3 linked regions of the Schizosaccharomyces pombe genome follow. Changing the gene in region 3 together with the main gene of any one other region gives a genetic interaction. Each region holds a gene or a part of one and is shown on either strand. Other genes may lie near its edges.

The links. Genes that interact genetically often act in the same process or in processes that back each other up.
Region 1: mutations in alp16 (region 3) and git5 together harm fitness more than expected from each alone (negative genetic interaction), as found in Schizosaccharomyces pombe (one large-scale study listed by BioGRID).
Region 2: mutations in alp16 (region 3) and spc34 together harm fitness more than expected from each alone (negative genetic interaction), as found in Schizosaccharomyces pombe (2 studies listed by BioGRID).

Annotation. Positions count from the first base shown.
Region 1 is NC_003423.3:1,461,950-1,466,308, reverse strand, and holds git5 (heterotrimeric G protein beta (WD repeat) subunit Git5), read right to left. Parts: upstream 2,461-4,359; 5' UTR 1,984-2,460; coding exon 1,066-1,983; 3' UTR 564-1,065; downstream 1-563. Other genes in the region: putative alpha-1,2-mannosyltransferase Omh5, read left to right, coding at 1-171, 274-498; mug93 (TPR repeat-containing protein), read right to left, coding at 3,226-4,210. UniProt on the Schizosaccharomyces pombe protein: Beta subunit of the heterotrimeric guanine nucleotide-binding protein (G protein) involved in glucose-induced cAMP signaling.
Region 2 is NC_003424.3:3,673,136-3,676,709, reverse strand, and holds spc34 (DASH complex subunit Spc34), read left to right. Parts: upstream 1-1,815; 5' UTR 1,816-1,915; coding exon 1,916-2,410; 3' UTR 2,411-3,011; downstream 3,012-3,574. Other genes in the region: ABC family Fe transporter Atm1, read right to left, coding at 1-1,184. UniProt on the Schizosaccharomyces pombe protein: Component of the DASH complex that connects microtubules with kinetochores and couples microtubule depolymerisation to chromosome movement; it is involved in retrieving kinetochores to the spindle poles before their re-orientation on the spindle in early mitosis and allows microtubule depolymerization to pull chromosomes apart and resist detachment during anaphase.
Region 3 is NC_003421.2:431,721-436,806, forward strand, and holds alp16 (gamma tubulin complex GCP6 subunit Alp16), read right to left. Parts: upstream 3,067-5,086; 5' UTR 2,955-3,066; coding exon 675-2,954; 3' UTR 544-674; downstream 1-543. Other genes in the region: ribosome biogenesis protein Rix1, read right to left, coding at 4,217-5,086. UniProt on the Schizosaccharomyces pombe protein: Component of the gamma tubule complex that is required for the regulation of both interphase microtubules and mitotic bipolar spindles.

The sequences.
Region 1 (4,359 bases), on a different chromosome or scaffold from region 3:
GGATATTACGTTTTACCGGAGCCCCCTTTAAACCGAATTGATGGCCAGATTTATAATCTATGCCATTTTTGGAGTAACTTCGAAATTGCACGCTTAGACTTTTACAATAGTAAAGAGTATAATGAATATGTCGACGCATTGGAAAATGCTGGAGGATTTTGGACTGAAAGGGTATGTTTTTACAGTTTATTCAAAAAAAAAAAAGCATTGTGTTCTTCGAAGTGCAATCTTCTTCATACTTTTTTCCTATCTCTGATTACTAACTTATTTTAGTGGGGCGATGCTCCGGTGCATTCGCTAGCAGTGGGTCTTCTCCTTAATCGATCTCAAGTCCATTACTTTAGAGACCTTGGGTATCAACATTCCACAATTCAACACTGTGGTCAAGAATATGGTTGTAATTGTGATTGCCCCTTCAACATACCCGATTATGAAACTAAGCCAGGTTCTTGTATTAACGAGTGGGCATCGGTGATGGGGGGATTTTTAGATGAATAAGAGCGAATACGGGTACTTTACGCTCTTTGTATTATAGCTATTTACAGTTTCTTTCAATTCGTAGTATACATACATAGAATTTTATTTAATAAAAGAATTTAATATTTGGGTTGTTCTTTCATAAAAATAAGTTTTAAAAAACAGCAAGACAACATTTATAAAAAAGTTTATTATCATACGTAAGAAGAAAAATACCTTTAAGAAAAAAAGACTAAAGGGTAATCGTTAGGATTAAACGTTTACAAAATCGCAATAATTAAATAGTAATAAAAAAGCGCCAACCTTTGCAAGGCGAAATTTTCGAAAAGGTATATTTTTGTTTAGAAATAAAAGAGAAACGTAACGAAAAAAATAGGGAATTAGTACACAAGGGTTTATGAATACATTATCAGTAAAGCATCACGAAACCACGCATAAACGTATAAAAAATTAAGAAAAATAATAAACCAGTGGGACATGAAGCAGTCAACCTCCTAGAATCGAAAACGTAAATGTATAAGAAAAAAAAACAAAACAAACATCATCATTTCCAAAGACAAAAAAAAAAGGAGAAAAAAAATCATTAATTTACCCTGACGAAGACCAGAGACGAACACATTCGTCCCAAGAGCCAGTTGCCAACATTGTTCCATCAGAAGTTAAAGCTAAAGAGCTAATTCGATTTTCATGGCCTGTTAATGATGTGATGGTTTTGCTTGAGATGGAATCCCAAACCTCGCATGTTTTATCTTTTGCGATAAAAAGAAGTTTTCCAGACTTGGAAAATAAGACTGAATTAATGGGGGAGGATGATGGAGATGAATACTGGAATATCTCAGCAGAAGCACGAATGTCAAAGCACCGAGCGATACCATCCTCTGCACCCGTAACAAAATCAGCGTTAGAAGGAAAAAAGGAAATGGAATTAATATCCGATGTATTTCCGGGAAATGTGGCACAACAATAAGCAGCCCGAAGGTCCCAGAGCTTGGCTAATTTGTCACAGCCTCCGGTAACAAATAAATTGGGATTTGAGGGTAGGAAATCTAGAGAGACAATATCCATTTCATGACCTTTCAAAACGCTAATGGCTTTTGCCTGCTCTATGTCCCAAAACATGCAAGTTTTATCGCCAGAACCCGTAAGCAAATGACCGTCATCGACATACTTACAGCACGAAACAAATCCTGCATGCCCAACCAATTCGACCGGATCCGCATCTGGAACACTGGTATCGTATACTACGCAAAAGTTGTTCAGCCCTCCAGCTGCTATGCTCTTAGTGGAGGGTGAGAATGCACAAGTCATAATCCATACGCTTGGTGCTTCAAAGAACGCAACTTTGTTGGAAGTGTGCAAATCCCAAACTAACAGAACATCATTCGTTGATGCAGATAATAAGTACTTTCCATCTGTAGATATGTCGATGTCAGGAATTTTTCCCAGCTTGTTTTTGAGAACTCGAGTCCCTTGAATGTTGACGTTTACTCTTGACCCAGAATCCATCTTTAGAAATTGAACCAGTATTCCGTCTAATATTCATACAACAGTAACGTAACTGTTCCTATACGATATACTCACAAAGAAAGGGGAGGAAATAAGGATACTAAAGATCTTAGGAAGAAAAGCGAAAAGAATATAAATCCACCTGATAAACTACTCTCACAACAACAAATTTAGAATACTCCTACAGGGGTGCCCAACTTTAAATCCACCCTAAAGAGTAAAAAATAAAAGAAAAACAATACAAAAAAAAGGAAGAGAATAGTAATGGTGCTTCGTTTAAAGAATTGCAAGCTCTAATGTTAAAATTGGCGTTCGCCTTTGAAACAATTTTACGATGACAAGCCTCTATACAATCTATTATTCTAATACAAGCACAAAAACATAAACACCAAAAGGACCAACGTATCGTTTTTCAACAAACACAAAAAAACGGCTTTCTTCGCTTTTTTACTGGAATTTATGTAAAGAGCTAAGGTCAAAAGAAGAGTATTGGGAAACCGTCATAGTGTGTGCAGCGTAACACAAACATATGGAATACGTCATCCTCATCGTAAGCATATAATAGCCGATTCATTCTGCGGTTTTCAACTTGTAGACTACCATAACCTTGCCATACCGATAAAATTGTATGAAATGAACGTTTAGTTAATAGAGATAATAGAAAATTGAAAAACCTGCATTAGACATATATTTTTTTGCTGTTGTAGCGATTATGAGAAAAGGGTTGCTTTACCACGTTGGCTGTGTATCTGTGAAATGGCTTTGTTATAAATAAACAAGCAATTTAGTAACAGAGATGTAGATATTTTGGATATCTTTTTTATTTTGATTAAATCGTGAATATGCGATTCATGGCATATACTCAGAGTATGAGAAACGGCAGTATTGGTGTGCAACACAAAACTGTCTTGAAAGTTTTTTTGTCTCTTTCATTTTGTTCAATTTCTTTAACAATTACACTTAACATTTGACGGACAATACTTGTGTATTGGGTCGATGACTGTCTTCATTGCTTGGTGTATCCGGCGGTAAACAAAATGGCAAACATTTCTACTTTGCCCACAAATATATAGCTTCATGTGGTTGATAATGATTATTTCAGCACTGAAAATAAGAGGTTGATATACAATGAATGTGTTATTCATAAACTACACACGGTTATTAATGCCTTCTACTCCAAATGATTGCATCGATGGTTTCTGGACTGACTTAACATACAAAAATTTATTGTCATCAATGTTATCATGTGTAGCAATTGATTGGGATCTCTGCAATTTCAAATTCAGAAGAGAGATCAGTATTGTTGATGGGTTTTTTGGAAACATGCCAGTTTCTGAATTCTTCTTCTTGGATGTCAGGAATATGCAAAAGAATTTGAGCTGCCGTTATATGTAAACAATGTTGCACGACAAAACTGAACCACGGCAGCCCACTCAACGCTTGCATCAGCGATCGTGCCTTGTCGGACCATTGCTTGCAAAACCTTGAACACAATCCGATATAGTGTATTGATTTTAAGAATAAATTTAACTGCTCAACCGACATTCCATGAGCTTTGAACAATTGATTAATTGTGGAAATAGGAAATGAAAACGTTTCAATGTACAAACAGGGGGCAGATAGGACTTTTATCATATAAAGAAACTGATCTATGTTTTGAGGGCATGGGTAATTGGATCTGTACAGTTCCTCTGGGACCAATAGAGAGTGTTCTCCCTTAGTTATTTTATTTTCTAATTCGTCCTCCGAGCTTTCTATTCCGATTTGGGCGCTGGGCGAGTGATTTTCGGTATCATCCTTTGCATAAGTATTTGCCATGTAAAGCATAGACCGCATTGCTGAAAGATTCTCCTTTTTCAGTTCGCATTGCTGTCCACACAATTGGCAATTGTCGTGCACTTTCTTCCACCAGATCTTGCCACGAATTATATTAGGGTATTGTTTTCGCAATCCTACAGGTAATTGCTGAGAAGAAGCAACTCTAAGGTGTCTTAACTGCCATGTTTCTGCACATTCTCTGTAAATGTAATACACTTCCTTTAATCTATGAAGAGATTTTTGGATGTATGTATTGTTTGGGTCCAGTTCAAGTGAATGCTCCCAATCACGATTGGCTAAGTGAGGATGTCCAAGTCGCAAATAAGCTAGTCCTCTCCTCCATATCACTTTTTTATCATACGGATTGATGACTAGAGCATATGTACAGTCATGAACTACTTTAGTATAGCTGCATGCAAAATAAGTTAGTTAGCATAAAAGCAAAACTGCTGCAAAGGTTCAGACGATGTTTTTTTTTCTTTCGAGAAACCCCGTTAATAATCCAAAGGATTCTCTGAACCTTTGTGACATAGGTAATTTGTTAAATTTATTATGTTA
Region 2 (3,574 bases), on a different chromosome or scaffold from region 3:
ATTGACAACTGAAATACTAATTGGTTAATCATGACAAGGTCACCTACAGTAAGGTTGGAAGTTACAATTCCACGACAACCCATGTACATCATCAAAGTAAGAGCGGTAGAGAATATAATAGCCTGTCCTGAATTCAAAAAGGCCAAAGAAGATGCTACCTTAACGTTGGCTTTTTCGTAGGCGGAAAGATGCTTTTCATATCTGCTCATTTCGTATGATTCGTTATTAAAAGTTTTAACGGCTTCATAATTAATCAGAGATTCAATTGCCGCGGCTGATGCTTTACTGTCAGCAGCATTTGCTTGACGACGGAATACAGTTCTCCAGGATGTCGTCCTAACAGTAAAAAGAGCATAAAGAGCAACGGTTGTAGCAGCAATGGCCGAAAACGAAGGTCCGTACTTGTAAGTGAGAATACCACTCACCATAGCAATTTCAAGGGTAATAGGAATGATGTGTAACACCATGGAGGAAAGAATGAAACTAATACCTTTTGTACCACGATCCATTGCTCTAGTAATACTTCCTGTTTGCTTTGAGAGATGAAAATTCATGTCAAGGTTCAACAGATGTTGATAGACATTGCTAGAAACACTTCGAATAGCGCTTTGCGACACAATTGCAAAAACGCTATTCCTTAACTCTTGAAAAACGGTAGAAAATATTCTAGCAAAGCCATAACCGAGAACAACAGCTCCTACAGTAGACCACAATGCTCCTACTTCTTGAACAAGTGTTGTATTCATGGTATCGATAATTGATTTAAAGTAAAAAGGAACTTGGACGTTAAGAATTTTGGCAGCTACAAGTAGTGCGAGAGCCGAAACAACTCTAACTTTCAAATTAGTCTTCCCCTTGGGCCAAATATATTGAAGCATGTCCTTAACAATCATTTGTCCTGTTACATTTTTATCATCTGGTACATCGGAAGCAAGTTTAACAGAAGTATTCAGTGGCTCTTTTTCTTTTGATTTGTTATTCCATAACGCTTTTGAAGCCGAATTATTTCCATTTCTAAGTGGGAAACATTGCTTAGATGCAAAATTGGAAAACCGCAGTATATGTTGAAGAGGTAATATATTTGACTTTCTTAAAACAAGATAAGTTCCACGAGAATTAAGAAAAGAGCGAGCTGGAATATTTCTTGGCGAGCTGATTAATTTCCAGGGACATCGTTCTAGCATTTTTATTAATACAACACTTTAAGATGTCAGAGCTTCAAGCTGTTAGTTATACCCAATATACTGCTCTTCTATTTAAGATAATTAAAGTTTTTAAATCTATATTTAAATAGAATAAACTTGGCTGATAGAATATGAAAAACAGACGAAACGTTCAGTCAGAAAAACCTCAAATAGCCTCCAAAGAGGCAACTTTTTAATAGATGGTATATATGAATAAAAGAACTAAGAGAAGGATAATTCTCAAACCTTTAGTTCTATAAATCTGGCAGACTTAGAAAGTTGTAGATTTTGATTAGATCACGATTGCGAAGTAGAGTCCAACAATTGCAAACTCATCAAAACTGCACTGAGGATTACGAAATTTTTAGCGTGTATTAACCTTTATAAAAGTTTTACATATAATTATTAATGGATAATCTGAGCTGAAGAAATGTGTGCCTAAAGCGTAAACGTAAGAATGATTCGGTGTAGCAAATAAAGGAAAATAGCAAGGAATGAACGCAATGCTTTACCTTTGTTAAAATAATTTGCTGAGCGAGAACAGAATTTCAAAAACAGGCACAGGTGATTTCCATTATATCAAAGATACCAAACGTTTATTACGTTTTGGTTAAACCACCTGCACACACCCAGAGATTGCATACACTTTTGGCAACTCTGGTAAAGTGAATTGAAACATACCTTTTACTAATTACGAGTCGAATTAGTGTTTTTGATGACTTATTAAATAAATGTCTGATTTGTTGAATTATTTACAGTCTATTGCTGCTACATCAGAAAAACTTTTGGAACCGGAAAACCCAAACGCAGCACGTTTCACAGACGCGGTGCTACATACTCATGCTATAACTGATTTAATTCGCGATACTCAGAAGGAAGAACTAATTGCAGCTGAGTTCAAATCTCTACCGAAGGATTGGAGTGAAAGGTTGGCATCAGAAAACCCTGCAGACTACGTTGCTTGTATTGAGGAACTACTAGATATATATCCTATGCAAGGTGGCCGTGAATATTTGGAGACTCTGGTTGAGAAATACAACTTACATATGTCAGGAATTGAGAATTTGGAAAACGTTTTACTGGAACAGAAAGAGCAATTGCAGCAACTTGAAAAACGACAAACCGATCAGGTGTCTGCTAGGGAGAATATTCTACAGCGTGAAACTTCTGAAATCCAAAGACTTGAAAGAGAAATTGAAAAAGTGAAGCAACTGATACAATCTTAGGAAGGCTATTTGCGTTGGTAGTCAGATCGACTTTTCGTATTGGTGAACATTTAGAAAAGGAGAAGCGAGGTCGTTGTTTTATCATGGATTTGAGCAAAGAACAAGAAATGTATTTAAGCGAGGATATAAAAGACCATGGACTCATTCCTTTGAAGTTACATCCTCAAAGAAGCACCCGAGATATTTCTGATTGCAGTTATCCTTCGACGTCAGATGATCGATCGGCTTACTCCCAATACAAACTGATGAAGCTGAAGAGGAAAAAAAGAAGTCGATGTTTTGATATATCATCCTTTAAAAAGCATATTGAAATGTCGCTTGCTAAGAAAAAAGCAAGTTCGTCTACTGTTACTTTGAAGGCTACAAAAGAGCTAGAGGATTATGAATACCTAGAATATGAAAAACATAAAGAGAAGAGAAGAGAATCTTTGGACTGTTTGCTCCAGGAATTCTCTAAAGCGGCAAAGATATTGAACGAAGATAATTAGCAAACTAAGTACATTACAACTCAGGAGCATAATAACTCATTGTTTTTGTAATATTCTCATTTATAGAATAGTATGTGAAAAATACAATAATGTTCATGATAAGTTAAAGACGGCAATTAGATTACTGGCTCAACGCCAGCTTTTGCATTGGACTCATTTGTTGTAATGAGTTCTTAATATTTATACAAACATAAGTACATACTTGTTCTTAAAAGTTCTAAAAGATTTTATTTAAGATATAAATAAAAGTTCAATAGCATAGTATGATAGCAAGTAATGGAACACTATGTATTTATTCTATATTTGATTATTAATATAGAGTAAAAGTCAGGTTCATAGTGTTTCTATTGACTCGTCAACTATAATTATTTTTTGTTGTTACTGAATGATAGAATTTGAACGAATGTTTTAATTGCTAATACCAAGGCTGCTGCTCCACCTTAACAATCACACATTACGCCAAAAAAATTATTTACTCGATTTCTCAAAAAAAACAATAAAAAAGGATCAATAAGAATACCTTTATTAAGAAAAACTTCTTCTTTGGAAAATTAAAGAATACACTTACTGTTGTTTATTTCAGTGTTTGTTATTGTATTCACAATTATTTATTTGTTTACTTATTACATAAGGCTAGTGGATCACCTTAATCTTTCTAACTACACACACCATAAGA
Region 3 (5,086 bases):
TCCTTGCTAACATTAAATTATCACTTACCTCCTTCCTTTTTCATGCATTCCTTGTCCGTTTACCCTCAACTTCACCAAAGTGATAGGCGTCCAGTAAGATTTTTATCTTTTGGCTTTTGCCTCTACTCTTTTCTCAACATGTCTTTATTTGCACTCTTATATTTGCGTGAGGTATTTACAGATTTGTATCTTTTTTTTTTTTTTTGCATGCATTTTTTGAACGAGCAAATTAAGTGGGACATACTGGTATGTTCCACCATTAAAGCGCATATATTTTTGCACCAAAATAACTTACTAAACTACATTGCGTATTTTCCTGTGATCATGGCACTTTACCTTGATATGTTTGATCTTCAAACAATCAATCATAAGCTTGACTGTTCATTTCTATTTTGATTCCTTTTAATTCTTCATCCCTTTCTTTGTTAAATTAATTTCCTTTTGTTTGGCACAGGTTGTTTAAACTTAGATTAAGATATATCTCTAGTAAATACTTTACTCATGAATTTATCCAAATACTTCTTTACATTCTTTATCATTTTATGCAAGGAATTTTCTGTAAGTGTTGTGCTTATAAATTTTTTTCTGCTGTAAAATCGTATATTCTTCAAACTTAAAGGTGAGATTAGCATGTTTACACTCGTAAAAATCCGTCATCCGGATCTGGTTTTTTGTTATGACACTTTGATGGATGACTCCCAGAGTTTCATGGTATCAAACAACTCTTTGACCTTTTGATAAATTGCTTTAGTGCACTGCTCGTGAACTGAAGCCGCATTTTTAATTGCAGAATTTTGTATGTTCGTAGGACAGTCAGGAGAATATATGGATTTCAGTAATTTCGTAAAAGGCAACATACACTCTGGAATGTATATTGAAAGAAACTGAAAAAGAGATTCTTTCGTGCCTTGATACTTAGACCATGACATAATAGTTGTTTTTGTTACTATAGAACGATCTTTCAATTCGACAGATGATTCAAAGTCTGATTGAGCTTGAAAGAGATGTAAAACGTAAGAAAAAGTTTTCGAATAATAATTTAAAGAGTTATCAGTAAATAATATCCGTAAAGCACCTATTACTTGGCATTGGAATTGTAAATCAGGGTACACATCCTCAAATTCACTAACGCTCGCAGAATCCAATGTAAAAGTTATACTCTTAGATAAAGACCTGCTCAACCCATTTTTTTCTTTTTCCATAAAAATGAATTTTTTCAATCGAGAAATAAAATTATATCTGTCATCAGAGTTCAAGTCCTCAGCCAACTCATTACGGTCAGATTTATCAAGCCTTCTTGATTTTAACAGAGAAATGACATTATCAGAGAATTCATAATTTTGAAAAAGAAAAGTGGAATGAAAAAAATTTAAAAGATCAAACACCTGAAAATCGTTTTTTAAAACTTTATATGTCGAACGTAAGAAACTGAGAATAAAAGATTGTATTGGCTCAGCAATACAGCAGCAAACATTCAAGTTAAGCGGACAGACGTTGCGCACATCATCTGTAAATTTAAGTTGTAATAAATTATCGTTGAAATCTGGAGTCATGTTCATTTTAGCAAGCAGCGTTTCAAATTCTTCACTGTCATTATTGACGGAAGTTTGTTCCAAATTACCAAAAGAAAGCGAAGAAAAGTTGCAGCGCTCCTCTATTACACAAGCTTGATTTATGTCGTTGAAAGAATATGCGAACCGAATGTTCAAAGGGTTAATAAATTCTTTGTTGTTTTTATTAAATATTTCTTTTTGTTCCCTTATTAATGACAAAAATTGAATACACTGTTCAATGCTTACACAAAGTTCAGAAGGAAAAAAACGGGGAAGTGATAAGAACAATGAAGAATCAATGTGACCATACGCACAAGAAACTTTTAAAGCAAGCTCAAGCCTTTTGAAGTAGGGATTTGAGCAATATATCAAGCACTGTAGGGCAATGGGGTAAGATATGGTATTCTGACATGAACGCGCATAATCAAAAAGAAAATCTAACAAGGAATCTCCTTTTAGGTTTTGAGCCGATTTTATTAAGAAGTGTGAAATTAACTCAAAGAATGAAGAAAAAGAATTAACAAAGTTACTTAAACCAATCAGACCGAATCTACGGAACTCATAAAGACGAAGCCAACGCTGAAACTCCTTTCGATACTGCAAGACACCATTCACAATGAAATTTGATAAATAAAAAGAAATGTTGGTCTTGTATAAAGAGAATTCATTTAAAGCTTTTTTTATTAAACCCCCAATTGCAGAAAATTTCTGGACGATACTAGCAAAACATTCATCGGACATTCCTGAAACGGAGATGGTCGGATCGAGTTCAAATGTGCTTGAGGTTTTGTTCCATGGAAACACTGTGCTTTCAAATCCTTGTGGTAAACCAGCCACGCAATTGAAAATAGTTGCTAAAGGGTAAACTTGCAGTGCAGAAAATAATGGTTTCGGACTCCAATCCTGATTATGAAGAAAATAATCATATACCCGAGAAGGCGCTTCAGATATGAATGGAGATCTAGCTTCTAAATTTTTAAAATTTTCTCCATCCCAGCTAGGGCATGTTAGCAGAACTTTGTTTTCGACAGATAAATCGCTGGGTGATGAATCTGTAAGATAAGAGGGGGACACTGAGGATTTAGCTCTTTTTCTTTCTGAAGTAATTTCCTTAGATGCGCTTATGAGTTTGGAATTGGATGATGTCTCACACCCAGGCACAGCGGGTGTTAGTTGTTGATTTGAAATATCGAGAATGACATCTTTTCCCAACAGATCATCGTTTACTTGAAATGAAAAGTTTTGAAAGTATTCCGAGGAGTCAAATAACTTCCTCTTCAATCCTTCTTTTCCCTCAAATTTCGAAAGCTGCTCGACAAAATCAGAATCAAATGAATTTGGCGTAAGGTCGAAAACGTGGTTGCCGAACCATAACAAGTCGTTTTTCATAATTCCATCCATTCCATTTTTATTTCAAAATCATCTATTTTAGTGGTACATTTCAAGATCCAACTCCTTTACTGGAAAACACTCTTGTTATGAATTACTAAAATTTGGCAATATGTGTGTAGTTAATGTATAATGTTGTTAACGTAGCGAATTAAGATGACTTCTTATCTAGAACAGTCAGGATTAGAAGATGTGAATGAAGTATGCGTCTCTTAAACTAAGAAATGGAACGTTAGTAATTGATCCTAACATTGAAACCAATTCAAAAATCCGTACTCTCGTGGCCGTACAACAGAAAATACTGACATGGAGTTAAAGGTATCCAGGATGAATAAAACAGAATGATAAATTGAACAAAAACTATCAGTTGTTAAGGAATTACTATTGCACAATTGCATAATCTATCCAAAACGACATTCCAGCATTTAATTTTAAGAGAGTGCTATGTGGATAAAACGTATCCTTTATGGAACTATAAGAGCTCTTTTATGCTTCTCTGGTTAGTACATTTAGATTTTTTTAAAAAAAAGTTTATTGTACTATTCGTGATATTATGGTTACAGTATACCTCGCTGGCTTGATCGTTTATTGTCCAGAGAGCTCGCATGCGAGTCAAAGCTGAATGAATGGTATCTTCATATAAAAAAAGTCTATTTGGAGAATTTTGGATCCTTCAACAAATTTATTTGAAGTACTTAATGTTCTTTCTTAATTTTTCTCATAAAACCATGTGTCAAGCAATGAAGGATTTAAATATTGTTGGCAAAAGAAATGTTGCAATCACTAATTCAAGTTTGTTTAGAAGCTTGCATTATATAGTTATCGACTTTTCTTTTGCCTTTGGAAAGGGATATCTTCATTATTCTTAATGAAACAGTATAAAATTCTTTTAAACACTAGACTAGATAAGTTGTTTTAATTCTTTCTCAAAAAACATAAACGACAGTCTAACTCTAAAATAATCGGGATTTTTGTGACACCAATGGTATAAAAATGATTAATTAAAAATTTTTGCGGATAACACAAGACTTTGTACTTTGTATTACTGGAAAATTTAGCTAATTAAAAAGGAGAACACATAAGCAATGTATTCTGGAGGTCAAAATCAATTGATTTTAACCTCCAAATATCAGCTTGATGTACCTTTTTTGCCATGACGATAATACATACAGGACTTTATAAAAATCAGCTTGGATTAAATGACAACCTACTTATCTAGAAATAGAATTTAAAATAAACATTCAGTACCCCCAAATCCTTTTTATAAATTAAGACTAACTATCACTATCAGATTCCAAGTTTATACTTGGCAAAGAGATATTGTCTTCCTCCTCATCATCTTCTCCGTTTCCTTCCACATTAATAGAAGTCGTTTTCTCATCTACGACATCCGTTGTTTTTTCAAAAGTTTCGACGACTGAAGAAGTTGTGTTTCCATTTTCATCACCATTTATGTTTTCAATTTGGCTTGAAACTACACTAGTAGGTCGGTCAACAAAGTCAACGTCTATAGCAGTAAATTTGGTTTCAGTGTCCTGAGAATTGTTTAATGCAACATTTGTAGTCTCCTCAACCTCAACATCTCCATGCAACAGTGAAACAGTTGTTTCCTTGTTTTCCGAAACAATGTTAATGTGATCAGTCCCGTGATTAATAGTTGAAGGTTGAGAAGAGTTGATTTCACTACCTTCTTCATTTCTGTCACCCTCATTAGAAAGAACATTAGACATAGTCAGCTCTGATTCGCTTCTTTTGTTCTCGGAGGTAGCTGTAGAATTATTCTGTAAGCCTGTATCTGTAGATGCAAAAGACTCTTTGATCCCTTCAATTTCAGTGGAATCTGTAATCGACTCTGTTTCAAAGGGAGGATTTGATGGAGCCAAAATACTACTTTCTTTATACTCTGATTGAGAATCCACCTGGGGTGGAGAAATATGCGATTGGTTTTCAAGAGAAACAGGCTCAAATCTTGACTCAAACGTATTTTCAAATTCGCTTGGTGAAAGATGTTTTTGCAAAGGTGGGAACCTAGGATGAATCAGCGATTCTATTGTTTGCATCGATGACCTTGCGTGTGAAGCGACCAGAGGATCTGGATGTACAAGCCCTAATGGACCAGAAATTATACGTATTGCATGAGGTAC